7 linked regions of the Macaca fascicularis genome follow. The protein of the gene in region 5 interacts with the protein of the main gene of each other region in a pairwise test. Links are inferred from orthologs where the notes say so. Each region holds a gene or a part of one and is shown on either strand. Other genes may lie near its edges. The genes, in order: GLYCTK, ZNF488, ZMAT2, UBE2U, GOLGA2, GPKOW and RAB2B.

Region 1 (4,670 bases), on a different chromosome or scaffold from region 5:
CCTCCAGATAGACAGCAGGAGGCAGCCCCCCATGGCTCCTTACTGCTTGCCGGCGCGCTCCATGGCAGCACGGATCCCCTTGGGAATGCTGATCACGCCCTGCACAAGATGCTGGCCCAGTAGTTCCTCAGCGGCAGCTGCCATGCCCATCACAGCCTTGCCAAAGCCCACCAGGTAGACGTTTTGCTTCAGCTGAAAGCTCCGGTCCCGCACCTTCAGCTGTCTGCCACTAGGGTCCAAGGATAGTGCCCGGTGCAGCATGGGGCCCGGCAGCACTGCACCCACAGCACTCTCAAACAGCTGCCAGGCCTGCTCTGCCAAGGCCATGCTGCTGGCCAGCCGGGCCACTGAGCCCCGCCAGAGGAGTGGATGCAAGGGGGCTCGGGCCAAGCGGGGCAGGACCTGCAGGGCTGCAGCCATGCCCCACTGCTCTCAGCACTGCCTGGCACCCATGGCTGCCTAGAGGGAAAAAGCACAACTGAGGCCCTTGCAAGGCAAAAGACAGGAGGTCCCCCACGGCCAGTGGACCCCACAGCTGCTGCTACAAGAAGGAGCCATCTGATAGCCCCAGGAGACTTCCTGAAGCCCACAGCTGCAGGATCTCACTCATCCTTGGATACCAGCCCTGCCACCCAGCCATGTCCTCCTCTTCTGCAGACCACATGCCGGCCCTCTGGATACTCTGCCTTAAGTCCAAAGTTCCTATTAGCTGGGCCCTCCTCCTAGGTCATCCCTTTGGCTGTGAGTTAATCATTGACAGAGGGAGTAATTTCTACCAGTGGGCTCCCATCCCACCCCTTTTCCACCCCCTGCACTTCTGAGCTCTTACCCAGGGGCAACGCCCCTTTCTGGCACTCCTTCCTTGCCTCTTTACTACCTCTGCTGCCAGGAGTCTGTTGATTGTCCCACCAACTGACCCCGAGCCCACTGACCTCCAGCCTACTCTACTTTATCTCATAAGACTGGGATTAGGAGGCTGGGAAGTCAGGGTCTATAGGAGGCTGCAGGTTTATCAGGTCAAGCCCAGAGCATATCCTCAGGGCAAGCAATCTGAGGAATCCCACTATTCAGGCCAGTTCAGCAAGAGGTTTAGTTTCAAATCAGGAGTGAGGGCAAAGTCTGGCTCATGGTGGAACCTTAGGAAAGTCCCCAGGCACCATGTGAGGCCATGTGCCGTGAAGCCCAATTGCAGGACAGAAAAGGATGCCCTTCTACCCACATAGCTGGCCAGACCCAACCCTGCCAAGAACACCCCTTCTAGTTCCAAGATAACAAAAACAAGTCCTAGATCACACCACCCACAGTGGTGAGAGCCCAAGAGCTGAAGTAGGCAAAGGCCAGGCTCCCATAACTGAGCCCAGATAGCCATTTTCCCCACTGGGCAGAGTAAAAGCTAAAGAAGCCTTGGGGTGAAGGTCAGGAAGCTGTAGAGGTGTATAAGAACAACAAAGACCCAAAGAGCTCATCTGTACTACATATGTACTATTGCATCTACTTTAATAAATGCCTACCATAAATGCTGCAAGCTGACTTCATCAGCAAGTATGGACTGAGCGGGGTAAGGAGGCTGGGAATTGAGCTTCCAGCTGTATCTACTACAGGTTTTCTGAGTGGCTGGGACACATCCATTTCTCTCACTGGGCCTCATCCACAAAATGAGACACAAGGTGAGATTAACACTACACTCTCCCCTTAACACCCTCAGGCTCTCTGATACTGTCCACTGCAACACAGATCTCAAATACCGGTTTATCCCACACCCAAATGTGGTGGTTACTTCTAGACTCTGACCATTTTGTCTGCCTAGTCTCAGCTCTCCCGTAAGAGAAGACAGCCATGCTTGACTTCTGTTGTGAAACGGAACACAGAGGGCATCGTCATGGGGATTCCGAAAATGGGTCCAGTTATGGCCAGGGGGACCCCTGGAGCTTGCCCATTAGGCTTGGAGCTAAAAGCATCTTAGCAACTAAGACAGCCGGTCTTTATAGCCTGGGTGAAATCTGTATTTATTTCCCAGATGGACAAGAGCCTAGAAGATCCCAGTCTTGCCACTGGGTATGAGCAGAGGACGGGGGACGCTCAATGCCAAGGCTGCCAGAGAAAATACAGGACGTCCTGTTAAATTTGAATTTCAGAAAAACAAGTAATTTTTAAAGTATAAATATGTGCATACAATGTTTAGGACTTAACAATTATTCATCGTTTATCTTAACTCAAATTTAACTGGACACGGCCGGGCGCAGTGGCTCAGGCCTGTAATCCCAGCACTCTGGAAGGCTGAGGCGGGCGCATCACCTAAGGTGTGGAATTACAGACCAGCCTGACCAGCATGGTAAAACCCCGTCTCTACTAAAAATACAAAAATTAGCCAGGTGTGGTGGGCGCCTGTAATCCAGCTACTCAGGAGACTGAGGCACGCGAATCATTTGAACCGGGGAGGCGGAGGTTGCAGTGAGCCGAGATCGCGCCACTGCATTCCAGCCTGGGTGACAGAGTGAGACTCTGTCTCAAAAAAAAAAAATTAACTGGACTCTCTGCATTTTTATTTGCTAAGTCCTCCAATTCTATACAAGACATGGTCTCTCCGAAACTCCGGAGGGATCCAAAGCAAAACACGGAAACAGGAAGACTACCGGCCTTGACTCCTCCCCGCTATTAAAGGGGGCTGGCACCATTTCCGGTTTTCCGCAGTCAGCAGGGGGCTGGAAGTGACGTCATCCTCAGGTAGGGCCTTCGCGAGGCAAACCGCTGCCGCGTAATGCCCGGTGATACGAGAAAGAAGGGCCTGCTGCCACCAAGACCCTTCGTCGCCCAGCCCAGGGATTGCTTCTGAAGGTCATGCGCGCCCTGCAGGCGCAGACTTACCAGCCCACAGCTCCGGGCCACGGCGCCCAGCACTGGAGACCGGAAGTACTCGCGGGTGGGCGGAGCGGAATCCGGAAGTGTGGGTGGGTGGATCGGCGCTGGCGGCTGCGAGCTCTAGCTGAAGCTGGGGTCTGGAAGGGAGAGTTTAGGATATTGACTCCTTGCTGGCCACCAACAGACCTGGAAGGAGTCACCTTAAGTCCTCATTTTCTTAATCTCTACATTGAGGGTAATAATCCCCGCCTCACTGATTGCAGATTTTTTTTTCGAGACGGGGGTCTCACTCTGTCGCCCAGACTGGAGTGCAGAGGCGCGGTCTCGGCCCAGTGCAACCTCCGCCTCCCGGATTCAAGCGATTCTCATGCCTCAGCCTCCTGAATAGCTGGGATTACAGGCATGTGCCACCACGCCGGGCTAATTTTTGTATTTTTTAGTAGAGACCAGCTTTCGCCATGTTGGCCTCTCTGGTCTCGAACGCCTAACCTCAATCGATCCACCCACCTCAGCCTCCCAAAGTGATGGGATTACACACTTGAGCCGCCGCGCCTGGCCTCTCCCTTCCTTTATCTTGTACGATCAGTCAGCAGATACACCCTGAGGACTGGGCTGAGCAAACGAACTGAGAATCACTACTTACCCACAACTAACCCCTTCTGGAGCCAGATTAAGTAATTCTCGCTCCTCTCCATGGTTTTTATTCCACAACTTATTAGTGTTCTCCCCTCTCCCACCATGGGCCACCAAATACAGCTCTGACCTAGCAAGAGTTCCATTCCGCTATCCTCAAGCACATAAGCTGCATGTAAAAGCGAATGACTCTGGACCTTCCTCACTGTCCCTGCTCTCATGCTGGGCCCACCCTGAGCTGGCTGGATGCCTTCCCACATTCATAAGATGAGTCCTCATCAGACTCCAAGAACACAAAACAGTTCACTGTTTTTACTGATGTTTTCTTATGGAGATAGAGGAGAGAGTTGCATCACAAATCACATACTTGATTTCCTAACGATTTTATTGAAACATGTTTCTTGGCAGGGCCCAGTGTTTCACGCCTGTAATACCAACACTTGGGGGGGCCAAGGTGGGCGGATCGCTTGAGCCTAGAAATCCGAGACCAGCCTGAGAACATGGCAAAACTCTTATCTCTCCAAAAAAAAAAAAAAAGAGCCGGGTGTGGTGGCATGCTCTTGTAGTCCCAGCTACTCAGGAGGCTGAGGTGGGAGGATCTCCTGAGCATGGCAGGTAGAGGCTACAGTGAACCTTGATCATGCCACTGCACTCCAGCCTGGTCCCATGTCTCAAAAAAAACCAACCAACCAACAAAAACACATTTCTTTCTCCTATTTTTGAGGTGGTGTCTTGCTCTGTCACCCAGGCTGGAGTGCAATGGCACAATCTTGGCTCACTGTCACTATACTCCAGCCTGGGCACAATCTCGGCTCACTGCAACCTCCGTCTCCCAGATTCAAGCGATTCTCCTGCCTCAGCCTCCCAAATAGCTGGGACTACAGGCACCCACCACCACGCCCAGCTAATTTTTGTATTTTCAGTAGAGATGGGGTTTCACCATGTTGGCCAGGCTGGTCTCGAACTCCTGACCTTGTGATCCACCCACCTTGGCCTCCCAAAGTGCTAGGATTACAGGTGTATAAACAATTACAGGCGCCCGGCCAATATAAACAATCTTCACCTTTCCCCACGCTGGGGAACACTAATTGCCACTGCTTGGTGTCTGTGTTTCCCTGATGGCTGCCCTCACACTTTATGCTTGAATAAATTCTTTTAACTGGATCTCGAACCTTTTG
Region 2 (4,672 bases), on a different chromosome or scaffold from region 5:
GTCCCTTTGTCTTGGCCAATTTCTCCCATTTGGAATGGGTGTATTTACCCAATGCCTGTACTTGCATTGTATCTAGGAAATAACTTTCTTTTGAGTTTACAGGCTCATAAGTGAAGGGACTTGCCTTGTCTCAGATGAGACTTTGAACTTGGACTTTTGGGTTAATGCTGGAATGAGTTAAGATTTTGGCAGACTGTTGGAAAGGCATGACTGTGGTTTGAAATATGAGGAAATGAGATTTGGGAGGACCGGGGTGGCATAATATGGCCTGCCTCTGTTTCCCCACCCAAATCTCATCTTGAATTGTAGTCCTAATTGTAATACTCATATGTAGGGGGAGGGACTTAGTGGGAGGTGATCAAATCATGAGGGTGGTTGCCCTGTGCTGTTCTCATGATAGTATAAGTGAGTTCTCAGGCAATCGAATGAGTTTGTGAGGGGCTTTTACCCCCTTCACTCTGCACTTCACTCATTCTTCTCCTTCTTGCCACTCTGTGAAGAAGGACCTGTTTTGCTTCCCTTTCCACCACAATTGTAAGTTTCTCGAGGCCTCCCCAGCCATGCTGAACTGTGAATCAATTAAACCTCTTTCCTTTATAAATTACCCAGTCTCAGGCAGTTCTTTATAGCAGTGTGAGAATGGATTAATACAGTCTAAAATATATCTTTCTTTATATGTTAAAAATTACAAGTGATGAAAAGCATTGAGTTGGTTGGTTGTCAGTTTTTCCCCCCTCTTTTGGAGTTGTATTTAGTATAATAGAATATCTTAAATTAGTGTTGTTTTATAATCAATGAAATTGGGTGTACTTCTATGCTGTACTAATATGGGTGTTACTATATGCTGGGGGCATATTAGGGTTCTCTTGCTTCATGCCTTCCGTGACACTTGTTATTGTTATATTTTAACACTTATACCTAATGATTAAACATCTCCTTGTGGTTTTAATTTGCATTTTCTAATTACTCTAGAGACTTCCTTCGTTCACATGATTTTGGTCGCTAATGGTTCCTCCGAAGTGCCTATTCATGTCTGTATCCATTCTTTGCTTTGGGTGTTCCTCTCCTTCATTAAAAGTACATATCCTGGATACTAATCTTTTATCAATTGCTGCAAGTATCTTCTTTCAGTGTGTGGCTTGCTTTTTCACTCCGTTTGTTGTTTTTTTAATCAAAGTATAAGTTCTTAATTTTAACGCACTTGAACTGTCATTTTCCACCACGGCCCGAGTCGCGGAGCCCGCCTTCCTGGCAGAGCGCTGCGTGGTCACAGCTGGGGTCTGGGGAGCAGAGGCTGCGGGCGCTCCCGGGGGTTGGCGGGGAGAGCTGGGCGATTTCGGCGGGGGGAGGTGCCGCTCGAGGGGCCGCCAGGCTGCGCGGGGAAGGAGGGCCTGGAGGCCGCGGGGGTCCTCGGCGCAGACTGGAGCCGCAGGCGCCGCGCGCAGCCCCCGTCCGCCTCGCCGAGGCCCCGCGGGCCCAGGAGCGCGAGGTCTGGCGCCCAGGACCAGAGGGGGTCGGCGGGAGCAGGCGCCGCCTCCAAAGGACGCCCTCGCCCTCCTGCAGGCGCTGGCTCCAGACCCTGACCAGCCAGCTGGGAGCTGAGCCGGGTTAGGGCCGGGCAGCCCAGAGGATCAGAAGGGGGTTTTCTCGCGGGGTTGGGGGTTCTTTGGCCAGCAGCGCCCTCCCCCGCCGGGGTCGCCCACCCACAAGCCCCGCCCCGAAGGCTGGAGCTTCCCTGGGGATGGGCGAAGCCGAGGCCACGCCCTGAAGGCGGGAGCGGGTTTGGGGCGGGACCTGGCCACCCTCAGGGCTCCAGCGCCAAGTTCAGAGCCACGCGCTGTGCTCTTGGCCGGGAGGAGGCTGTGCTGCCCCAGCACCTTTTGCTCCACATCTCCAGAGAGCCCAGGTGAGGCGCGCCCTCCTGTCTGCAGGGACAGAGCCGCGAGCGGGCGCGGGCGGCCGGGTCCATCTCACTTCCACTGCCTTTCCCCAGGACAGGGTTGTTGAGTCCTGCCTTTGACTGTGGGGTCCTTTCCTTCCCAATGTCGCCAGCTTCCTCTAGCTCTCTCATGTCGTCTCCGACTCTCATCCCCGTTTCTGTTCCCTTTCTCCTCTCTCACTTTTTCTCCTCTATCTCTTCTTTATTGTCTTCCTGTTTTCATTTCCTTCCGTGTCAGTCTCTCTCCCTCTCCCTCTTTTCCTCTCTTTCTTTATCCTTCTCCCTCACCTTCCCCCTCTCCCCGCTGTTTTTTCAGCACCCAAGAATTCTGCCTATGATTTTTTTTTTCCTCCTAGGGTGACTTTCAGGCTGCAGTTGTTTTCGTCCCTCCCTCTGCCCCTCCCGGGGTTTATCGTGTATTGCTCTGTTATTCTCAGCCCAGGCTTGCGCTGGGCAGTAGGGTAAGAACCATGCATCAGCCCCAGATCCCTTCTCCAACAGATTATATCCAAAGATCTGGACGTGTAACCTGTTCACTGTCTTTCCTGGGAAACAAAACAATGCTAAATGATCACATTATACTGAGTTTTTAGAATGAGCTGAAAGAACATACCTGGTTTTAGAGGCAAGGGGTTGATTGAATCCTTTCCTTGACATTTTGCCTTTACTAATAGACACAGACAGCACAGCAGGAAGCTAAGCCGTGCAGAAGCATTTAAGGGAAGTTCCCACCCACACCTGCCTTCTGGGCAGGTTATGCAATGCCAGGTGCAGGGGAGGGAGGGGACAGGATTCAGAGCAGGGTTGTGGGAAGACAGTGGGAGGCCAGAGCTTTGCACCTGAAACATCTGAGGGCCCCTGGAAATAAGAAATTAACAGTAAATTTCTAAAATATGTAGTTGCCAATGCCACTGATGTACAGAAATGAACTTACTTAATTACTCCTGAGGGAGACGTTAGGCATTTTATGGCAGTAATTATGGCATTTGAAATTAATGATTTTATGTACATTAAATAGGAGGGCCAAGGGGAAAATATTTCCTGTTAGTGTCAAAGATTGTCATAGATGTATAAAGGACGAACTCTAGAAAATCAAGCCTCATTCATTTTTGAGGGATAAAATAGAACTATATCGAGGCAATTTTTTGTTTCTTGGTTAAAATGTAATCTTATCAGAGATATGTGATTTAATTTTTAATGATATTTATGACACATAATATTTATATGTTCAAACACACACAAATACATAATATATATGCACTAAGTTATAAAAGAGCCTTTGTTTGTTTGTAAAGATCTTAATTACCAATAAAGCTTGAAGCTTTTGCTTCTTGGAAATAATTTAACATGATATTGTAGTTTATTATGACCTTTAATGAAAATTCAACTCATTTACTTTTGATTGATACAGAAATGGAAATTTGGCCATAGATAAATTACACAGAATTAAACAGAAATTAAGTATGATGAAGGTACATTGCAGTGTGTTCAGTGAAAGAATTTGCATGTGCTAGATATTTTGGACAAATTCATAGGTATGTGCGTGGAACTGTGATTTGTGAGGCTCTTTTCTGGTTTAAAAAGTTAAATTGCCTTTTATATCTAATCCCTGATCCCCAATATGTGAGGATTCTCGGGGGAGGGGTAAAAGACTTTGCAAATGATTTAGAATCATCATGTCTGCTTTGCTTGGCAGATTTCTTTTCGGGTATCCAAGAAGTGGCAACTTTTGTTTGAAACATGTAATCACACCAATTTTTTTTTTAAAAAAGGATGAATTTCAATATTTTTAAACTGATCGTTCCTCATTAGTGGTCAGTGTCTCTGTAAGAACATCATTGTCTTTTTATCCTTAGATGATGCTATTGTTGGAACCTGGGAATGTCAAAAGGAGTAGCTGAGGTAAAATCATGGACTTTTTCCAGAAGGCTGCCAGTGGAATTGGGACCACCGTCTCAGGCTCCACCTTTATTCTCTAGTTGTATTAGGAAAAGAGCTGCTGTTCCTTGTGCTCTTGCTGCCTGGCATGTACAGAGCCCTGTTGAGTCCCGTCCGTGAGTGCCTGAAGTGAAGATCACTGTTCTTGTTTTACTTATGAAGAGATGGAGACCCAGAGTATTTGTCTGAGGTCAGGCAGGTAGTAGCAGGGCTGATTTGGAACACAAGTTGTGCCCTGGAGCCTGAGTGACCAGGGCTAATTCAGTCCCGTTATGTGACTTCCATGTTGCTGCAGCCCTAGCACATGTAACATCTAAAATATCACTCCACACAGCACCAGCCATTGCCTATTGGCATTGTTTGGCAGAACACTGCTCCCTGTTCTGTGTCCTGGCCATCCTCAGTCATATCCATGGTAGACTCTCCATCTGCACAGCAGGGCCCCATTGAAGCACTGGATTTGCCCTCTGCTTTCACTGGCCCTGCTTCTGCACAGTCTCAGGTATCTGAGTGGGTGATGAGATTGCATCCACCCCTATGAGGGTCCACATGGCCAAGTTATGTTGCACTAGGGCCACTCTCCCTGCTTCCATGGGTACTGGCTGTGTCCGCAGTCTCCTGCACTTAGCTTTCCTGGAATGCAGCAGGCATTGCTGCTAGAGGGGTCCAGGCATAGCTGGCCACAGAGCTTGTAGGGGCTGACCAGGAATTGCTCATCTCCCCAGTGCCACCAGTCAGCCTCTGGGAAAGCCTGGATCACCTTCCGTGTTTAATTTCTTCAGTGCGCCAGAGCCA
Region 3 (2,668 bases), on a different chromosome or scaffold from region 5:
CCTTTTGCCCCCCACTGCTTCTCTCTCCAGTTAGGTTTTCTAGCAGGAGAGCAACACAGATAGCAATGAGTGACACTTCTCTGAGCTGCTTAGTAAACCCACTGTTGTCCATTCCTGTCTGTATTAGTTATCTATTGTTACGTAAATTAACAAATTAACCCACAGCTTAGCAGCATAAACTACACCACTCACAGTTTCTTTGGGTAAGGAATGTGGGAGTGGCTTACCTAGGTGGTTCTGGCTCAGGGTCTCTTCATGAAGCTGCAATCAAGGAGTTGGCAAGGTAGGTCTGCATTCATTTGAATCTTAAGTGGGGCTGGAGGATCTGCTTCCAAGCTCTCTCACATGCCTGTTGTTTGGAAGCCTAAGTTCTTTGCCCCATAGACCTTTCTATAAGACTGCTCACAATAGAGCAACTGGCTTCCCCGGAGCAAGTAACCCAAACAAAGACAGAAGGCATGGTTTTTAAAATAACCTAATTTTGGAAGATATTACTTTTGACATATTCTGTTGGCCACACAGACCAACTCTAGTACAAATTGGGAAGAGACTACACAGAGTAGGAATACCAAGAGGGTGGGGCTCATCCTGAGGCTGTCTTTGAGGATGACTGCTATACTCTCTCGAGAGCCAAGGCTTTATAGAAATGAAGGCTTAACACTTCTAAAAAGAAGTTTACCTAAAAATTTGTGTTTCTTGGTTGAAAATGATAAGATCCTTAAAACCATATTTGACTCAAGTGCTGTTTCTTCCTGTTAGATATTACTGCAATGTCTGTGACTGTGTGGTGAAGGACTCCATCAACTTTCTGGATCACATTAATGGAAAGAAACGTAAGGCTTGGAGGTAGCTTGTGACTAGGGCTGGAATTGGGTTTTGGAGGTGGGGTGGAATGGAAGGGTAGGTTTTTTTTTTTTTCTTCCTCTTCTTTTTACTGATCAAAAGAAGGCTGGAGTAAGAAAGGTAGTTTCTATTGGGCTCTTTTTTGATGCCCCTATTAGAACTCTCCAGTTGTTTCAGCACAGGCCATCTTTTACTTCATTATGTAATATTTCTGGAGGCAATGGGTAAGAGGCCTTATTCTGGAGGCCATGAGACTTTTAACAGCACCCAAACCATGTGCTGCTCCTGGGCCCAGCTGACCAAGGGAGTTTCTTTTAACCGTAATTATTTGTGCTGTGTGTTTTATGAGATGTCATATGAGAAGATGTCAGAGAAGTCAGGAAAATACTTTTTGAGGGGCTGAGGATGTTTTAATGAGCTTGCCTTCTTCACTGTTGACCCCATCCAGATCAGAGAAACCTGGGCATGTCTATGCGTGTGGAACGTTCCACCCTGGATCAGGTGAAGAAACGTTTTGAGGTCAACAAGAAGAAGATGGAAGAGAAACAGAAGGATTATGATTTTGAGGAAAGGATGAAGGAGCTCAGAGAAGAGGTAAGCCTCTCCTAGTCTTCCCCTCTGCCCCAGATTTGAGTTTTATGTTATGAATCATGGGAGACCCTGTCCTCATCCCACTCCTACTCCCAGCCCCAGAGTTGTATCTCCTGAGTTCTGTATATTAGCGGAAACATTTGTTGCCTTTGTTTAGGATTCTCATGATCTGAAGGAAATGGCTCTGAAACGACTTTTTTGTCCTGGACTCTGTGGGCCTTATTATTTATTTATTTTGGCGATACAGATATTTCTCAACTTCTGACAGGGTTACCTACCGATAAACCCATCATCAAGTTAAAAATATCTTAAGTCAAAAATGTGTAATACACCTAACCTACCATAGTTTAGTCTAGCCTACCTTAATGTGCTCAGAACACATTAGCCTACAATTGACCCAGATTATCTAACACAAAACCTATTCTATAATAAAGTATTCATCTCATTAATTTATTGAATACTGTACTGAATGTGAAAAACAATGGTTATATGGATACTTGAAGTACAGTTTCAAATGCATGTCAGTTTTGCACCATTGTAAAACTGAAAAATCTTGTCAGAGCATCGTAAGTTGAGGACTCTCATCTGTATTCTTTGATTTAATTTTTTAAAAAGACTTAACTTTTTTTTTGGCCGGGTGCGGTGGCTCAAGCCTGTAATCCCAGCACTTTGGGAGGCCGAGACGGGTGGATCACGAGGTCAGGAGATCGAGACCATCCTGGCTAACACGGTGAAACCCCGTCTCTACTAAGAAATACAAAAAAAAAAAACTAGCCGGGCGAGGTGGCGGGCGCCTGTGGTCCCAGCTACTCGGGAGGCTGAGGCCGGAGAATGGCGTGAACCCGGGAGGTGGAGCTTGCAGTGAGCTGAGATCTGGCCACTGCACTCTAGCCTGGGCTACAGAGCGAGACTCCGTCTCAAAAAAAAAAAAAAAAAAAAAAAAAAAAAGACTTAACTTTCTTTAGAGCAGTTTGGGTTTGCAACAAAATCGAGAGGGAGGTATAAAGATTTCCCATATACCCACTGTCCCCCACAACATGCATAGCTTCCTCCATACTTTTTTTTTTTAACTACAAGAGGAATTAACTAAATGTACCTAGTCCTAAGGAGGCCCATGAAATCAGGCTGACTGGGTCAGAATTCTGTTTCTTCCACTTACTGGCTGTGAATCTTGGGCAAGTTATATAACCTCTTTGTGCCTCAGTATCCCCATATTAGAGATCTTAGTATAATA
Region 4 (3,893 bases), on a different chromosome or scaffold from region 5:
CTGTCTAACAAACTGCTCCTCCTGTTTCAAAGCCCGAGTCTGTTTTCACTTAGACATAGTGATTCCCTCCCTGTGCTCCCAAAGCAGCTTTTCCCTTGCACATCAACCGGCCGTTAGCAGGGATCCAGTAAATATATATGTTAAATGAATGAACTAACAAAGCATCAAAAGATCGAGCAAGATGGAAAGAATCATTTATGACAAATAAAGTTACTTATAAAACATGAAGTTTAGAAAGTGTAAAAAAGGTTGCTCGCATTCATTCAGATGGTCTTTGGCATTATCCTACACATGCAGGAACACTCTTTTCATTGTTTTTCCTGTATGTCTATTAAATTTCTGTTTTTTATAGTTCCCACCACAGATGAAATTTTTCTTGAGTCACCAACTGCAATAAATAGCGTCACAAACATTTACGAAACAGAAGAGGAGGGGTGGAAGAGTGACACTTCATTATATGAAAATAACACAGATGAGCCCTGGGAAGAGGAAGTGGAAGATCTAATCTCCTGGATCAACACTCTCAATACAAATACTTTAGAAGATTAAGCAGAACATTATCAGGTTAAAAAACTGAACAGCCTCCACCATAGCCCAGTGTTGTGGAGCAATTTTGGAAGACTCTCAGAACTTGGATTTCATTTTTTTCAGGCTGTTCTCACCCGCTCACTGCAAGTACAAGCAAGTACAAATTAGAGATATAAGTACAAATCAGTAAAGATGTTGCTTTGACTTTCTTTAGAACTAAGTTACCGAAGTTAGGGATGTTCATTGCCATATGCCAATCAATGGTGTGACACTCCCACAGTTTTTAGGCTACTGGACACAAGTTTTTGCAGGCAGAGAATGGGTCAGAAAGAGGCTGGGATAGGAGGGGAGCAATTAAGAGCTTCAGAGGCTGGACATGACCTCAAATAGCAGGATCTATACATGGACCTACATCTGCCTGCTTTCTTGTCTTGTTTCCTCCATATTCAAGGAATGAGATGTCACTATTTACTAATGTTTCTCTTCTGTTTTATCCCAGAGTACATGGGAACATATCTGTCACCCCAAAAGTTTCCCCTGCTTCATGGTAATACGTCTCTCCTGCTCCTATTTCCTGCCCTTACTTTTCATAAGATCAGTCAGTATCACTGATCTGCTTTCTGTCACTGCAGATTAGTGTGCAATTTCTAGTTTTATATAAACTAGACCTTCTATCTCCTTGTATTCTTATAACTTTATTTTCTCTGTCTCTTTTTGCCATGTTGTCTCAACCTATACGTATGCTTGGGTCTCTCCTATTCTAAAATATGTCTCTGCCTTTGACCCCTATCTCTGCTTACCTCACCATTATTCACTCATTTTTCTCAATCAGATTTATTGATGGTGGTCTATCATTCTCTCTTTATTTCTTTCATTCATTTCACATTTGCATCCACTGCACAATGAAATCTATCTTCCATTCATTCTACTTCACTAAAATTTGCTGGGATCACCGTGATTTTCTTACTGCCAAAACTCATGTTTGATATTATTGATCATCTTCTTATTTTGAAGTGTTTATTGCCGTGGCTTCAGAGAGACCTATTTTGAGGCCTACATACCTACACACATATGTCTTCTCAAAAATGCCATACCGATCTATATGTCTGACCTTGGATGTAGTTATCAAATAGGTCTCTCCCTCATTTTTAGGGAAACTGATTTTAGTTCCCATGAAAAAAAGAAAGCTCTACTACATGTATCTGGTCTCTTTGCACTCTCCTGGCTGGCTAAATATTTCCAAGTCTCCCTCTGGTAGTTCAGACAGTAGGGCCCCAACTGATTGTAGTACCTACACTTTTGCTATCCCCCTGTGACCAGAACCACAACATTCTGAGTCTCTCTTAGACCTCTTTTATAAGAGCACAGATTCCATTTATGAGGGCTTCACTCTCATGACAAAATAATTTCCCAAAGGCCATACCTCCAAATACCATTCCCTTGGGGGTTAGGGTGTCAATATGTGAATTTTGGGAGGGGACACAAACATTCAGACTACAACATTGTGTCTAATATTACTGAACTCCTTGTACTTCCCCACACATAACAGCATTTTCCTGCTTCCCTGCCTTTGCTTATGCCATTTCCTCTACCGAGAATTCCTTTTCCCCTCTTCAGTTGGCTAACGCCTATTCAGCCCCTAAAACTCTGCTCAGGCATCACCTCCAGAGTTTTCTCTGCACTCCACATACCCTACTCCAGGCTGGGTCTCTCTCTGGCTCTCTGGCTCTCACTCTGTGGGCACCATATAGTATGTGTATGTGTCTGCTGTTCAATTTTATTGAAATTGTCTGTTTGCACATTTGCCTCTCCCATTAAACCTTCAAAGAAGAAGCCAACCAACCAGACTCCATCCTAACGATACTCAATAATATAGACTACATTCCAACAGCTGCCACGATGTCTCAAACAAAAGCTCCTGTTTCACTGTGTTAGAGTTTACTGTTAAAAAATAAACTTGGAAATTTTAGCAAATGAGTGAATTCAAAAGTAACAAAAAAGGAACTTTTAATAACAAGTAGGAATACCTTGAGAGAGTTGATTCTGGAAGAAGGCACTAGGTTTTTAAAAACAGCTTTATTGAGGTATGATTGACATAGAAGAAGTTGAGCAATTTAAAGTGTACAGTGTAAGTTTTTATATATGATGCCTTCATGTAATCCTACTACTATCAACATTGGGAACATATCTGTCACCCCAAAAGTTTCCCCCTGCTTCATGGTAATATGTCTCTCCTGCTCCTATTTCCTGCCGTTACTTTTCATAAGATCAGTCAGTATCACTGATCTGCTTTCTGTCACTGCAGATTAGTGTGCAATTTCTAGTTTTATATAAATGAAATTATGCAGGCTGGGCGCAGTGGCTTGTGCCTGTAATCCCAGCACTTTGGGAGGCCAAGACGGGCAGATTACGAGGTCAGGAGTTCGAGACCAGCCTGGCTAACATGGTGAAACCCCGTCTCTACTAAAAATACAAAAATTAGCCGGGTGTGGTGGCTATTGTCTGTAATCCCAGCTATTCAGGAGGCTGAGGCAGGAGAATCGCTTGAATCCGGGAGGCAAAGGTTGCAGTGAGCCAAGACTGTGCCATTGCAGTCTAGCCTGGTGACAGAGTGAGATTCCATCTCAAAAAAGAAAGAAAGAAAGAAAGAAAGAAAGAAAGAAAGAAAGAAAGAAAGAAAGAGAGAGAGAAAGAAAGAAAGAAGGAAGGAAGGAAGGAGAAAGAAAGAGAGAGAGAGAAAGAAGGAAGGAAGGAAGGAGAAAGAAAGAAAGAAAGAAAAAGAAAGAAAGAAAGAAAAGCAGGAAAGCAAGAAAGCAAGCTGTGTGGCTGATTTCACTCAGCACAATTATGTTGAGATTTCTTTGTCTTTTGTATATCCATATTCATTTTTATTGCTGAGTAGTGTTCTACTGTATGGATATACCACAATTTGTTTATACATTCACCTGTTGGTGGACATTTGTGTTGTTTTCAGTGTGAGACTATTACAAATATAAAAGTTGCTGTGGCAAATCCATCCTAAGATGACCTACAACGAGTCAAACCCTTACACAATCCTTGAGTGTAAATAGAACCTGTGTCTTCTAGTCAATAGAATATAGCAAAGTGATGTGATGACGCTGCTGTCATTACATTATGTCGTATTAAGACTCCATCTTAAGCAAACTAGAGAGGGATTCTCCTGCTAGCTTTGAAGAAGTAAGCTGTCATGTGGGAAGGCCACCTAACAGGAATTGCTGGCAACTGCAGGAGGTGAGAGGAGCCATTGGCTGACAGTCAACCAGAAAATAGGGACCTTGGTCCTACAAACTCAAGAAATTGAATTCTGTCAACAACCATGTAAGCTGTTTTAACCTGCTAACTTT
Region 5 (3,893 bases):
GTCACCTTCCTTTGACTCTTCCCCACAGAAACAACAGAACCAAGAAATTACGGATCAGTTGGAAGAAGTAACGTGATTTCTTTGTTTGCTCACAACATGACAGCTGGGTTTGGGGGGCACTCAAATGTAGAGGCCTCAGTCTCGTCTCACCCGCTCCCAGCCTGGGGAAGAAGGCTCACCCCCCAAGATTCCACCCCATCCCCACAGGGTCCCTGATAACCTGGTCCCATGGGTGGGCCGGTCCTGGGGCATTGGTGGCATTCTGGGGGCATGTCCCTTGCTGTGCCATCTCTGCCTCCCCCTAGTAAGAGCTCTGTCTTCCTCTTCCTGTAGGAAAAGAAAGAATGCCACCAAAAGCAGGGAGCCCTAAGGGAGCAGTTACAGGTGAGTGGAGGGGGTGAAGTTCCGCCCTGTCCTCTGGAGAATGTTTCTTTCCTTCTTTTTCAGCACTTGCTTGGGTTTCCTCCCAAAGGTTCACATTCAGACCATAGGGATCCTCGTATCAGAGAAAGCTGAGTTACAGACAGCCCTGGCTCACACTCAGCATGCTGCCAGGCAGAAAGAAGGTGGGAATCTGGGCACCCCATCATCCTTCAACCTGGCACTTTGACAGGCCTTTAGGGTGAGTCCTTTGGACCCCATCTCAACCTCTCTCATTCCAGGAGAGTCCGAAGATCTGGCCAGTCGCCTGCAGTATTCCCGGAGGCGTGTGGGAGAGTTGGAGCGGGCTCTCTCTGCTGTCTCCACGCAGCAGAAGAAAGCAGACAGGGTGAGTCCAACTGCCTGCCCCGAACCCTGGCAGCCTGGCTTCCCAGGTGGAGGAGTGAGCCTAAAGGTCTCTTCTGCAGGGTTGAGTGTCCTGCCCAGAAGGCAGCATGGGCCATTTGTCACTGCTTTTGTGTGTGGTTGTTAGAGGCATCCTGGGGCTGAGTCAGCTGCTGTGGGTGGGTGGGGGGGCACTGTGAGGAGTGAACACTGGACACAGAGCTCAGAGGCCAAGTGCCCGCCCTGCCCTTACCTGGCTGTGGCCTTGGCCAAGTCCTAGGTTGGGGAATGTGGTATTTGTTCTGTGAAGGTACAGAAGAGTATCTTTAGTATGTTACCATTTGTGTAGAGAGAGGGAACGTGTGTGTGTGTGTCTGTGTGTGTGTCCGTGTGTCTGTACATATGTACTGTGACAATATACATAAAACATGTCTGCAAGGATTCATAAAAAACTCAGGAGAGAGGAGCAGCATGGCTGGAAGATATTTCCCTTCTGTACCTTCAGAGTTTTGGACTATGCGAATGTATGATCCTTTCAAAAATTGAACAAAAGATTAATTTCCCTCTTCCTATCTGTGCCCCCACCCCCAGGGAACAAATGAACTTAGAGAGTCAGATATACCTGGCTATTCAAATCCCAGCTCTGTCTAAGTGATCTTAGGCAAACACTTAACCTCTAATACTACATATTTTTCATCTACAAAATAGAGGTAATAATATTGCAGTGAGCTGTCTCATGTGGTGATTATGAGGATTAAATGGGATTATTAGCATGGTGCCTGGTGAAACACTCAATAAAGGTTCAAACAGTGGTAGTAATAATGATAATAACAATAGCAATATTATCTGATCTCTCTGGGCCTCTGTTAGCCAGCTGTAAATTCGATCTTGGCCAGGTGTGGTGGCTTATAGCTGTAATCCCAGCACTTTGGGAGGCCGAGGTGGGCAGGTCAACTGAGGTCAGGGGTTTGAGACCAGCCTGACCAACATGGCAAAACCCTGTCTCTACTAAAAATACAAAAAATTAGCCAGGTGTGGTGGCAGGTGCCTGTAATCCCAGCTACTTGGGAGGCTGAGGTAGGAGAATTGCTTGAACCCGGGGGCGGAAGTTGCAGTGAGCCGAGATCACACCACTGCCCTCCAGCCTGGGTGACAGAGGGAGACTCCGTTTCTAAATAAATAAATAAATATACAAAAATTAGCCAGGTGTGGTGGTGCATGCCTGTAATCCTAGGTACTCAGGAGCCTGAGGTAGGAGAATCACATGACCCCGGGAGGCAGAGGTTGCAGTGAGCCAAGATGGCACCATTGCATTTCAGCCTGGGTGACAGAGGGAGACTCCATCTCAAATAAATACATATATACATACATACATAAATTCACTGTCTTTTCCTGTCCCTTTCACTCTTACCAAGCTCTGTATTTTTTTTTTTTTGGAGACGGAGTCTCGCTCTGTTGCCCAGGCTGGAGTGCAGTGGCCGGATCTCAGCTCGCTGCAAGCTCCGCCTCCCGGATTTAGGCCATTCTCCTGCCTCAGCCTCCCAAGTAGCTGGGACTACAGGCGCCTGCCACCACACTCGGCTAGTTTTTGATATTTTTTTGGTAGAGACGGGGTTTCACCGTGTTAGCCAGGATGGTCTCGATCTCCTGACCTCGTGATCCGCCAGTCTTGGCCTCCCAAAGTGCTGGGATTACAGGCGTGAGCCACTGCGCCCGGCCTTTTTTTTTTTTTTTTTTTGAGACGGAGTCTCACTCTGTCACCCAGGCTGGAGTGCAGTGGTGCCATCTTGGCTTACTGCAAGCTCTGTCTCCCGGGTTCACTCCATTCTCCTGCCTCAGCCTCCCAAGTAGCTGGGATTACAGGCACCCGCCACCACGCCCGGCTAACTTTTTGTATTTTTTTTTTTAAGTAGAGATGGGGTTTCACCGTGTTAGCCAGGATGGTCTCGATCTTCTGACCTCGTGATCCACCCACCTTGGCCTCCCAAAATGCTGGGATTACAGGTGTGAGCCACCGCGCCCGGCCACCCTTACCAAGTTCTTTTAAAAACAAATGAGACCAGCTGGGCACGGTGGCTCACACCTGTAATTCCAACACTTTAGAAGGTTGAGGCGGGTGGATCACTTGAGGTCAGGAGTTCAAGACCAGCCGGGCCAACATGGTGAAACCCCATCTCTACTAAAAATACAAAAATTAGGCTGGGCGTGGTAGCTCACGCCTGTTATCCCAGTACTTTGGGAGGCTGAGATGGGTGGATCACAAGGTCAGGAGATCGAGACCATCCTGGCTAACATGGTGAAACCCCGTCTCTACTAAAAATACAAAAAAATTAGCCAGGTATGGTGGCAGGCACCTGTAGTCCCAGCTACTTAGGAGGCTGAGGCAGGAGAATGGCGTGAACCTGGGAGGCAGAGCTTGCATTGAGCAGAGATGGCGCCACTGCACTCCAGCCTGGGTGACAGAGTGAGACTCCGTCTCAGAAAAACAAAAACAAAAACAAATTAGCCGGACATGGTGGCGTGTGCCTGTAGTCCCAACTACTCAGGAGGCTGAGGCAGGAGAGTCACTTGGACCTGGGAGGCGGAGGTTGTGAGCTGAGATCTCACCACTGCACTTCAGCCTGGGTGACAGAGCGAGACTCTGTCTCAAAAACAACAACAACAACAACAAAATGAGACCGTGGGCTTGGAAATGCCTTGAAAACATGTCAAGCGTGATTGAGAGTGAAGAAGTGTTACTGTGGAGTAGTTACTGTAGCTATTGTTACTGGTCGGCCAGCTGCTCCTCTGCCTGCTATATCCTGACTTAACCTTTCTGTGTTTACAGTACAACAAGGAGTTAACCAAAGAGAGAGATGCCCTCAGGCTGGAGTTATACAAGAACACGTAGGACGGGGGATGGTGGGATGGGAGGTCTGGGGGCCCTTAGCATGGGTGGTGTGCTGGGAGGTGGGGGGTACAGGTAAGCATGGTGAGGTGGTCATACAGGTTTGCATGTGTGCCCAGCAAAGCTCTAGTGCCAGCTGCGCCACTGACTCATGGTGTAGCCTTGGGTAACTCATGTCTTATCTCTGGCCTGTACATGTGACTTTTGATTCCTGGGGTTCCTTCCAGTGCCACAGTTCTGT
Region 6 (3,893 bases), on a different chromosome or scaffold from region 5:
AGGGACTTGTGGCATATGCCACTCTCTTCCTTTTAGCTGGGAACTGAGGCTCACAAAGGCCAGCAAGTGGTCCCGGGTTACTGAGTGAGGCAGTGGGCCAAGCAGACCTAAAAGACTAGGACTCCCAGCCTTTCTACCTCAAACCCAATTATTCCTCCATCTGACCCTCGGATCAACCTTCCCTACTGCCTGTTTTGGGCTCCCGGGATATCTTGGTTCCTTACCTTCCCATAGAGGCCTCGGTGAGGGCCAGAAAGAACCACCACAGCTCCTCCTGGCACCAGCCCTTGAGGCTGATCTTCCTTATCCTTCTCTTGCTCCTCATCTGGCCTTGGCATGTGGGAGGGGCCGGTGGGGGTCAAGGCCTGGGCCTCAGACAGGTTGGCACCCAGCCCTAACCCCTTGGGCCTCAGTGAGTTGACACGGGGCTTCACTACTCTGCAGGGAGAACATGGGTTTGTTGGAGAGGATGCAATAGTCTTCAACACCTTATTTACCTCCTCTCCCTGCCCAAACCCCCACCCCCACCATTGACATTTTCTTTTCTTTTCTTTTTTTTTTTTGGAGACGGAGTTTTGCTCTTGCCATCCAGGGTGGAGTACAATGGCTCAATCTCAGCTCAATGCAACCTCCGCCTCCTGGGTTCAAGCGACTCTCCTGCCTCAGCCTCCCAAGTTGCTGGGGTTACAGGAGCATGCCACCATGCCTGGCTAATTTTGTATTTTTAGTAGAGACAGGGTTTCACCATGTTGGTCAGGCTGGTCTCGAACTCCTGACCTCAGCTGATCCGCCCTCTTTGGCCTCCCATAGTGCTAGGATTACAGGTGTGAGTCACCGTGTCTGGCCCCCATCGATATTTTCAAGGTTGCCCTTTCCGATCTCATATTAGGACTGTTTTTGACCTACAGAAACAGCAATTTCATTTGGTTCGACCTAATAACATGCTGCATATACCATCTATTACATAATATCTACAGTGAGATCAGAGGCAGATCACTGTAACCAAATATACTATTTCTACAGGGGAAATCATATGAATATTCACACCAAGCAGGAGAAACGGACTATAAAAACTCAACATGGTTGGGCACGGTGGCTCATGCCTGTAATCCCAGCACTTTGGGAGACTGAGGTTGGCAGATCACCTAAGGTCAGGAGTTCAAGACCAGCCTGGCCAACATGGGGAAACCTCATCTCTTCTAAACATACAAAAATTAACCAGGCGTGCTGGTGCATTCCTGTAATCTCAGCTACTCAGGAGGCTGAGGCAGGAGAATCACTTGAACTCAGGAGGTAGAGGTTGCAGCGAGCTGAGACTGCACCACTGCATCCCAGCCTGGGTGACAGACAGAGACTCCATCTCAAAAAAAAAAAAAAAAAAAAAACTCAACGCCAATTCAGGTCATAGTTGGCTGCCAATGGGTTATGAAAAAAATGTTTGGTTTTCACAATTCTTGAGTTTGCAATTGCGAAGAAAGGGTTGTAAGTCTGCATGACAATAGCAAATGTTTAGTCTACGCTTTCTTGGGGTCAGGGCCTACTGTATGTGCTTTACGTATATAGTTTCTTTATCTTTTTTGTTTTTTTTTTTTTGAGATGGCGTGTCACTCTGTCGCCCAGGCTGGAGTGCAGTGGTGCGATTTCGGTTCACTACAAGCTCCACCTCCTGGGTTCACGCCATTCTCCTGCCTCAGCCTCCTGAGTAGCTGGGACTACAGGCGCCCGCCACCATGCCCGGCTAATTTTTTGTATTTTTTTTTTAGTAGAGATGGGCTTTCACCGTGTTAGCCAGGATGGTCTTGATCTCCAGACCTTGTGATCCACCCGCCTCAGCCTCCCAAAGTGCTGGGATTACAGGCACGAGGCACTGCGCCTGGCTCTAATTTCTTTTTTTTTTTTTTTGAGATGGAGTCTCGCTCTGTAGCCCAGGCTGGAGAGCAGTGGCCGGATCTCAGCTCACTGCAAGCTCCGCCTCCCGGGTTTACGCCATTCTCCTGCCTCAGCCTCCGGAGTAGCTGGGACTACAGGCGCCCGCCACCTTGCCCGGCTAGTTTTTTGTATTTTTTAGTAGAGACGGGGTTTCACCCTGTTAGCCAGGATGGTCTCAATCTCCTGACCTCGTGATCCGCCCTTGTCGGCCTCCCAAAGTGCTGGGATTACAGGCTTGATCCACCGCGCCCGGCCTAATTTCTTTTCTTAAAATGAATTAATCTTTTGTAGAGATGGGGCCTCCCTATGTTGCCCAGGCCAGTCTCAAACTCCTGGGGTTAAGTGATCCTCCTGCCTCAGTCTCCCAAAATGCTGGGATTACAGGCATGAGCCACTACCTGGCCTATGTGTATAATTTCATTTAACTCTCACAACAGACCTGTGAAGTCAGTACTATTACCCCCATTTTTCAGATGAAGAAATTGATGTCCCTAGAGGCAGACTTTATATAAATGGGATTCTATTAGAGTTTCAAAGGGCAAATGGGAGTTTAAAACAGTAGTGGAAGGGGCTACTGAATTAGTTAGGGCGATAATGTATCCTCCCTCCCTGCCTGGAGTGGTTCTGGTTTGGCAGTGACCCTGGGGATCTTGATTGCAGCCTGATCTGTCTGTCCCCTCGCCCCTATCCCAGAACTCACTGATTGAAGGTGCGGCCGATGCCCTCGCCAGGTTTCCAGCCCATGCCCCGCAGCATGGCCAGCCCATAGGCCTCCACGGGGACCGCCTCATAATTAGCCTCCTCTGGCACCTACAGGTTCAGGTAGAGGAAGGAGGGTCAGGCTTTGCTTACACTGGGTCCTCTGTTTGAAGTGCACTTGCTGCCACCCACTGGGAGACCTGCTACGCATCTTTTCCAATCAGCTCAAGGGTGTTTTGATTTCCTCTTTCCATCCCTCACTGTACTCCTCCATGTTCAGTCCTTCAACAAATAGAAAGCACCTAGTCTATGGCAAGTACTGTTCTAGGTACTGGGGATGAAGCTGTGAACCAAACAGACAAAAACCCCTACCCTTGCAGAGCTTCTGATCTAGTTGTGGAGACATACTATAAATAAAACCCAGAAAACATGATATGTCAGGTGGTGACGTAAAGAACAAGAAAGCAGGGTAAGAAGATGCAGAGGGATGGAGAGGGAGTGCCTCTGGGTTGACATTTAAGCAGAGATCAGGAAATGATAGCAGAGGGAGCCATGAGGATATGAGAAGAAAGTGTCCCGAGCTGAAAGCACAGTTACAGCAAAGGCCCTGAGGCTGGACAAGGCTTGGTATGTGTGAGGGGTAAAAGTCACCATGACTGAAATGGAGATAGTGAGAGTAGAGAGCAGAGAAGGGTGGGGAAGAGATCAAATCAGGAGAGCTGGGCAGGAGTCAGAGGACCCTGAGCCAGGTGGGAGCCATAAGAGGGACCAGTGAGGAAATTACTCTAATAGTCCAGATGAGAGATACTGGTGGCGGTGAGAAGTGGTCAGTTCTGGGTGTCATTTTGAAAAAAGATGAAGGATTGTGCTGGCAGAGTGTATGGGGCATGAAATAAAGAGGGGAATTGAGGATGACTCCAAGGTTTTCTTTTTTTTTTTTTTTTTTTCCTTGAGATGAAGTCTTGCTCTGTTGCCCAGGCTGGAGTGCAGTTGCACAATCTCAGCTCACTGCTACATCAGTCTCCTGGTTTCAAGCGATTCTCCTGCCTCAGCCTCCTGAGTAGCTGTGATTACAGACATGTTCCACCATGCCCAGCTAATTTTTGTATTTTTACTAGCGATGGGGTTTCGCCATGTTGGTCAGGCTGGTCTTGAACTCCTGATCTCAGGTGATCCGCCCACCTCAGCCTCCCAAAGTGTTGGGATTACAGGCTCGGCCGACTCCAAGGTTTTTATGCTGAGTGAGAGGAAGGATGGATGGAATT
Region 7 (3,893 bases), on a different chromosome or scaffold from region 5:
TGCTCTCCTTGATCTCATTGGAAAAACAAGCAATAGAGCATTAAGTTTTGTGTAACTATGGGGGCTTGCCTAACCCTTGATAAGCCTTTTTCTCTGTAATAGAGTGAGTTATTATCTTCAACTATGCAGCAGCTGTCCCAAAACTAAAGAATATTTTCCAAGAGGCTACAGAAATCAGTAACTCTATATAAGAGAGTATCTTGTAGGATCTATGTTCTTTATTAAATAACTGGCCATTGAAACCACGATGGAATTCTTTTAGAAATAGAGTTTCCTCTTTCACTTGGATCTTTTTTTAGTTTTCTCCTTAATTAATCTCTTGCAGTGACCTAGAGTCCCGCAGGGATGTGAAAAGAGAAGAAGGAGAGGCCTTTGCTAGGGAGCATGGACTTATATTCATGGAAACTTCAGCCAAAACAGCCTGCAATGTTGAAGAGGTACTATTTGGAAAACAGTGGGGAAAACTCTTTAGAGATTACACCATTATTTGTCCTTTTATTCAGAATTCTCTTCTCCTATAAGAAATGGGTAAAGAAAGGATGTCTTGGCCGGGCGCAGTGGCTCACACCTGTAATCCTAGCGTTTTTGGAGGCCAAGGCAGGCGGATTGTCTGAGATCAGCAGTTTGTGACCAGCCTGGGCAATATGGTGAAACCCCATCTCTACTAAAATACAAAAAATTAGCCGGTCATGGCAGCATGTGTCTGTAGTCCCAGTTACTCGGGAGGCTGAGGCAGGAGAATTGCTTGAACCCAGGAGGCGGAGGTTGTAGTGAACCGAGATCCTGCCACTGCATTCCAGCCTGGGCAACAGAGCAAGACTCCATCTCCAAAAAAAAAAAAGGGAAAGGATGTCTTGTGGTCATAGTGACTACTTCTCTCATTCCTTTTAAAAGAATTGTCCCATTTTCTTTTACCCTGATTCCCAAGGTTTTACTTTTGCTTTGGGTAATATTAGTTGGCAAGTGTGAATTAGACACCACACTTGTTACTAGTAAATCACTCTGGTTGGAGTGTCTAATGGATTCTACTGTAGTCATTCCTAAGCCTAGTGTTGATGGTATCTTCAGTAAGTAGTGGAGAATAGAGTGTGTTTGTTTTATTTGTAGAAGATGCCAGCCTAGGAACATTTTGGGTCAGTACCAGAATACCACATAATCCTTTTTTTTTTTTTTAACTACTCTTAATGGCTTTTACAAGGACATTTGGGGGACCTTCTGTGTTTTGTTTTGTTTTGTTGAGACTGAGTCTCGTTCTGTCGCCCAGGCTGGAGTGCAGTGGCACGATCTCAGCTCACTGCAACCTGGGCTCCCAGGTTTAAGCGATTTTCATGCCTCAGCTGCCCGAGTAACTGGAATTACAGGCATGCATCACCACGCCTGGCTGATTTTTGTATTTTTAGTAGAGACGGGGTTTTACCATGTTGGGCAGGCTGGTCTTGAACTCCTGACCTCAAGTGACCTGCTCGCCTCGGCCTCCCAAAGTGCTGGGATTACAGGCATGAGCCACTGCGCCCAGCCGACCATCTATGTTTTTTTACTGTTTTCTAATTCACCTTAGAAATTCAAATATGTATAATAATTAATATTCTCTTTCCCTCATTTCTCTACTTGAACTTGAGACTGATGATATGATTTATGTCTCTTTCAGGCCTTCATTAACACAGCCAAAGAAATATATAGGAAGATCCAACAGGGTTTATTTGATGTCCACAATGAGGTAAGAAAGGGTAGAAGTGCTGGCAGTTAACTTTGGTTTGTTCTGAATAGAACTGGAGGTTCCCTAGAATGGAATGCTTACATTCCCCATCTATCATTATATAATTTAAAAGCTCTGCCAATTCAACTTTTTTTTTTTTTTTAAATCTAGGTACACAGAGACCTGTCATCATTTTCTGTTTTCCTCAAGTCTGACACCCAGAATGCTTAAAGAGATTATTGGTGATCTAAAAGACTTATACAATATGGGAGATTTTCTTGTCAACCTCAGTTTTTTACTATTCTAGAACATAAGGGAGGTATAATTCATAGTGGCTTAGGAGAGTAATTTCTATAAAGCAAATTCTGGAACAAAACAAAAAGAATCATATGCTACTTCTGCTCTTTGCCTCCTCCACTCTTACCTAATCACAACCTAATTCTGCACATAGCTATGACATTTAAGTATAATATGGTCCCCTAAAAATGAGCACAGGGGCCACGTGTGGTGGCTCATGCTTATAATCCCAGCACTTTGAGAGGCTGAGCTGGGGAGATTGCTTGATGCCAGGACTTCAAGACCCACCTGGGCAACAAAGAGAGACCCCGTCTCTAAAATGAGCACGGGGTGCAGTGGTGCACCCGTAGTCTGAGTGACTTGGGAGGCTGAGGCAGGATCACTTGAGGCCAGAAGTTTGAGGCTGTAGTGCACGCTGGTCATACCTGTGAATAGCCACTGCACTACAGCCTGGGCAATGTAGGGAGACCTCATTTCCTCAAGGAAAAAAAAAGTACACAAAAGCCACTTGTAGTCAACTAGAATATTTAGACCATAGGTAGTCATCTTATTCTTACTGTCATAGATTATTGTTGCACATCAGTCTGGCTAGGGCACCTGGTTACCTGCCAAGGTCAAATCTGCTTTTAGAAAATATAATTAATGATTCCTCCTTTCTCCCCTTTCTTTTTTCTTTCTACCTGGGATACAAGCAGAGATAGCCCCCTCCTCTCTCTAATTCACTTTAACACTGAGGTGGGAACTATTGCCTCTTTTCTTTTACAGGCAAATGGCATCAAGATTGGGCCCCAACAGTCAATTTCAACATCAGTGGGACCCAGTGCCTCCCAGCGGAACTCTCGTGACGTAGGGTCCAACTCTGGCTGCTGCTGAACATCTGGCTTGAACTTTTTTTTTCCTTCCTGGAATAGCTTCAGATCAACAGGCTTAATGAAAGAGGTCTTTCTTGCTTTGGCTGAGAGCAGCCTCTTTTTAAAGTGTGATGTTTTGCCCTTCCACCTAAAGACCAGGAGAGAATTTGGGCCCTTACTGACCTGTCCTCCTTCAAGGACATGAGCATTCCGTATAGATTAGGGTTCTTCTTATCCTCCTATACTAATTTCTTAAATCGTTAGGATCAAAGTTGATTATCACAGTAGTTAAAAATAATAATTTCACGGTGGGGCGCCGTGGCTTATGCCTATAATCCCAGCACTTTGGAAGGCCAACTCTGGGGGATCACCTGAGGTCAAGAATTCGAGACCATCCTGACCAACATGGAGAAACCCCGTCTCAACTAAAAATACAAAATTAGCTGGGTGTGGTGGTGCATACCTGTAATCCCAGGTCTCGGGAGGCCAAGGCAGGAGAATCACTTGAACCCAGGAGGCGGAGGTTGCGCTAAGCTGAAATTGTGCCATTGCACTCCAGCCTGGGCAACAAGAGCGAAACTCTGTCTCGATAAATAAATATATATATATTTGTTTGAGACGGAGTCTTGCTCTGTCTCCAGGCTGGAATGCACTGGCACAATCTTGGCTCACTGCAGCCTCCACGTCCCGGGTTCAAGCAATTCTTCTGCCTCAACCTCCTGAGTAGCTGGGACTACAGGTGCGTGCCACCACGCCCAGCTCATTTTTGTATTTTTAGTATAGGCGGGGTTTCACCATGTTGGCCAGGATGGTCTTGATCTCTTCACCTCATGATCTGCCCACCTTGGCCTCCCAAAGTGCTGGATTACAGGCGTAAGCCACTGTGCCTGGCCTAAATAAATAATTTCATAAGCATATACAATCTGCTTCCCACTAAGAATTAGGGTCAAGGACATTCTGCTTGAACACTTGGAATTGCCCAGATTTGGTTGGCCTTTGGTTGATAGATCCTCTGCCTCGGAATTTCATTGAGTTTTTTCCTTCCTTGC

What was found.
Region 1: the proteins of GOLGA2 (region 5) and GLYCTK interact in binary tests that used the Homo sapiens proteins (3 or more experiments, as listed by UniProt). The two-hybrid records come from large-scale screens. The link is inferred for Macaca fascicularis from reciprocal best matches to the Homo sapiens genes GOLGA2 and GLYCTK.
Region 2: the proteins of GOLGA2 (region 5) and ZNF488 interact in binary tests that used the Homo sapiens proteins (3 or more experiments, as listed by UniProt). The two-hybrid records come from large-scale screens. The link is inferred for Macaca fascicularis from reciprocal best matches to the Homo sapiens genes GOLGA2 and ZNF488.
Region 3: the proteins of GOLGA2 (region 5) and ZMAT2 interact in binary tests that used the Homo sapiens proteins (3 or more experiments, as listed by UniProt). The two-hybrid records come from large-scale screens. The link is inferred for Macaca fascicularis from reciprocal best matches to the Homo sapiens genes GOLGA2 and ZMAT2.
Region 4: the proteins of GOLGA2 (region 5) and UBE2U interact in binary tests that used the Homo sapiens proteins (3 or more experiments, as listed by UniProt). The two-hybrid records come from large-scale screens. The link is inferred for Macaca fascicularis from reciprocal best matches to the Homo sapiens genes GOLGA2 and UBE2U.
Region 6: the proteins of GOLGA2 (region 5) and GPKOW interact in binary tests that used the Homo sapiens proteins (3 or more experiments, as listed by UniProt). The two-hybrid records come from large-scale screens. The link is inferred for Macaca fascicularis from reciprocal best matches to the Homo sapiens genes GOLGA2 and GPKOW.
Region 7: the proteins of GOLGA2 (region 5) and RAB2B interact in binary tests that used the Homo sapiens proteins (3 or more experiments, as listed by UniProt). The two-hybrid records come from large-scale screens. The link is inferred for Macaca fascicularis from reciprocal best matches to the Homo sapiens genes GOLGA2 and RAB2B.

What each region holds. Positions count from the first base shown.
Region 1 is NC_088376.1:115,370,017-115,374,686, reverse strand, and holds the start of GLYCTK (glycerate kinase), read right to left. Parts: upstream 2,917-4,670; 5' UTR 2,866-2,916; exon of another isoform or gene 2,690-2,865; intron 676-2,689; exon of another isoform or gene 460-675; 5' UTR 421-459; coding exon 44-420; intron 1-43.
Region 2 is NC_088383.1:56,854,191-56,858,862, forward strand, and holds the start of ZNF488 (zinc finger protein 488), read left to right. Parts: upstream 1-1,808; 5' UTR 1,809-1,906; intron 1,907-4,672. UniProt on the Homo sapiens protein: Transcriptional repressor. Plays a role in oligodendrocyte differentiation, together with OLIG2. Mediates Notch signaling-activated formation of oligodendrocyte precursors.
Region 3 is NC_088380.1:147,179,140-147,181,807, forward strand, and holds part of ZMAT2 (zinc finger matrin-type protein 2), read left to right. Parts: intron 1-759; coding exon 760-833; intron 834-1,291; coding exon 1,292-1,437; intron 1,438-2,668. UniProt on the Homo sapiens protein: Involved in pre-mRNA splicing as a component of the spliceosome.
Region 4 is NC_088375.1:170,415,545-170,419,437, reverse strand, and holds the end of UBE2U (ubiquitin-conjugating enzyme E2 U), read left to right. Parts: intron 1-352; coding exon 353-549; 3' UTR 550-3,325; downstream 3,326-3,893. UniProt on the Homo sapiens protein: Catalyzes the covalent attachment of ubiquitin to other proteins.
Region 5 is NC_088389.1:15,716,126-15,720,018, forward strand, and holds part of GOLGA2 (golgin subfamily A member 2), read left to right. Parts: intron 1-28; coding exon 29-67; intron 68-333; coding exon 334-384; intron 385-472; coding exon 473-566; intron 567-662; coding exon 663-769; intron 770-3,592; coding exon 3,593-3,651; intron 3,652-3,893. UniProt on the Homo sapiens protein: Peripheral membrane component of the cis-Golgi stack that acts as a membrane skeleton that maintains the structure of the Golgi apparatus, and as a vesicle thether that facilitates vesicle fusion to the Golgi membrane.
Region 6 is NC_088395.1:49,282,062-49,285,954, forward strand, and holds part of GPKOW (G-patch domain and KOW motifs-containing protein), read right to left. Parts: intron 2,740-3,893; coding exon 2,630-2,739; intron 439-2,629; coding exon 225-438; intron 1-224. UniProt on the Homo sapiens protein: RNA-binding protein involved in pre-mRNA splicing. As a component of the minor spliceosome, involved in the splicing of U12-type introns in pre-mRNAs.
Region 7 is NC_088381.1:89,135,847-89,139,739, reverse strand, and holds part of RAB2B (ras-related protein Rab-2B), read left to right. Parts: intron 1-325; coding exon 326-437; intron 438-1,648; coding exon 1,649-1,717; intron 1,718-2,758; coding exon 2,759-2,866; 3' UTR 2,867-3,893. UniProt on the Homo sapiens protein: The small GTPases Rab are key regulators of intracellular membrane trafficking, from the formation of transport vesicles to their fusion with membranes. Rabs cycle between active GTP-bound and inactive GDP-bound states.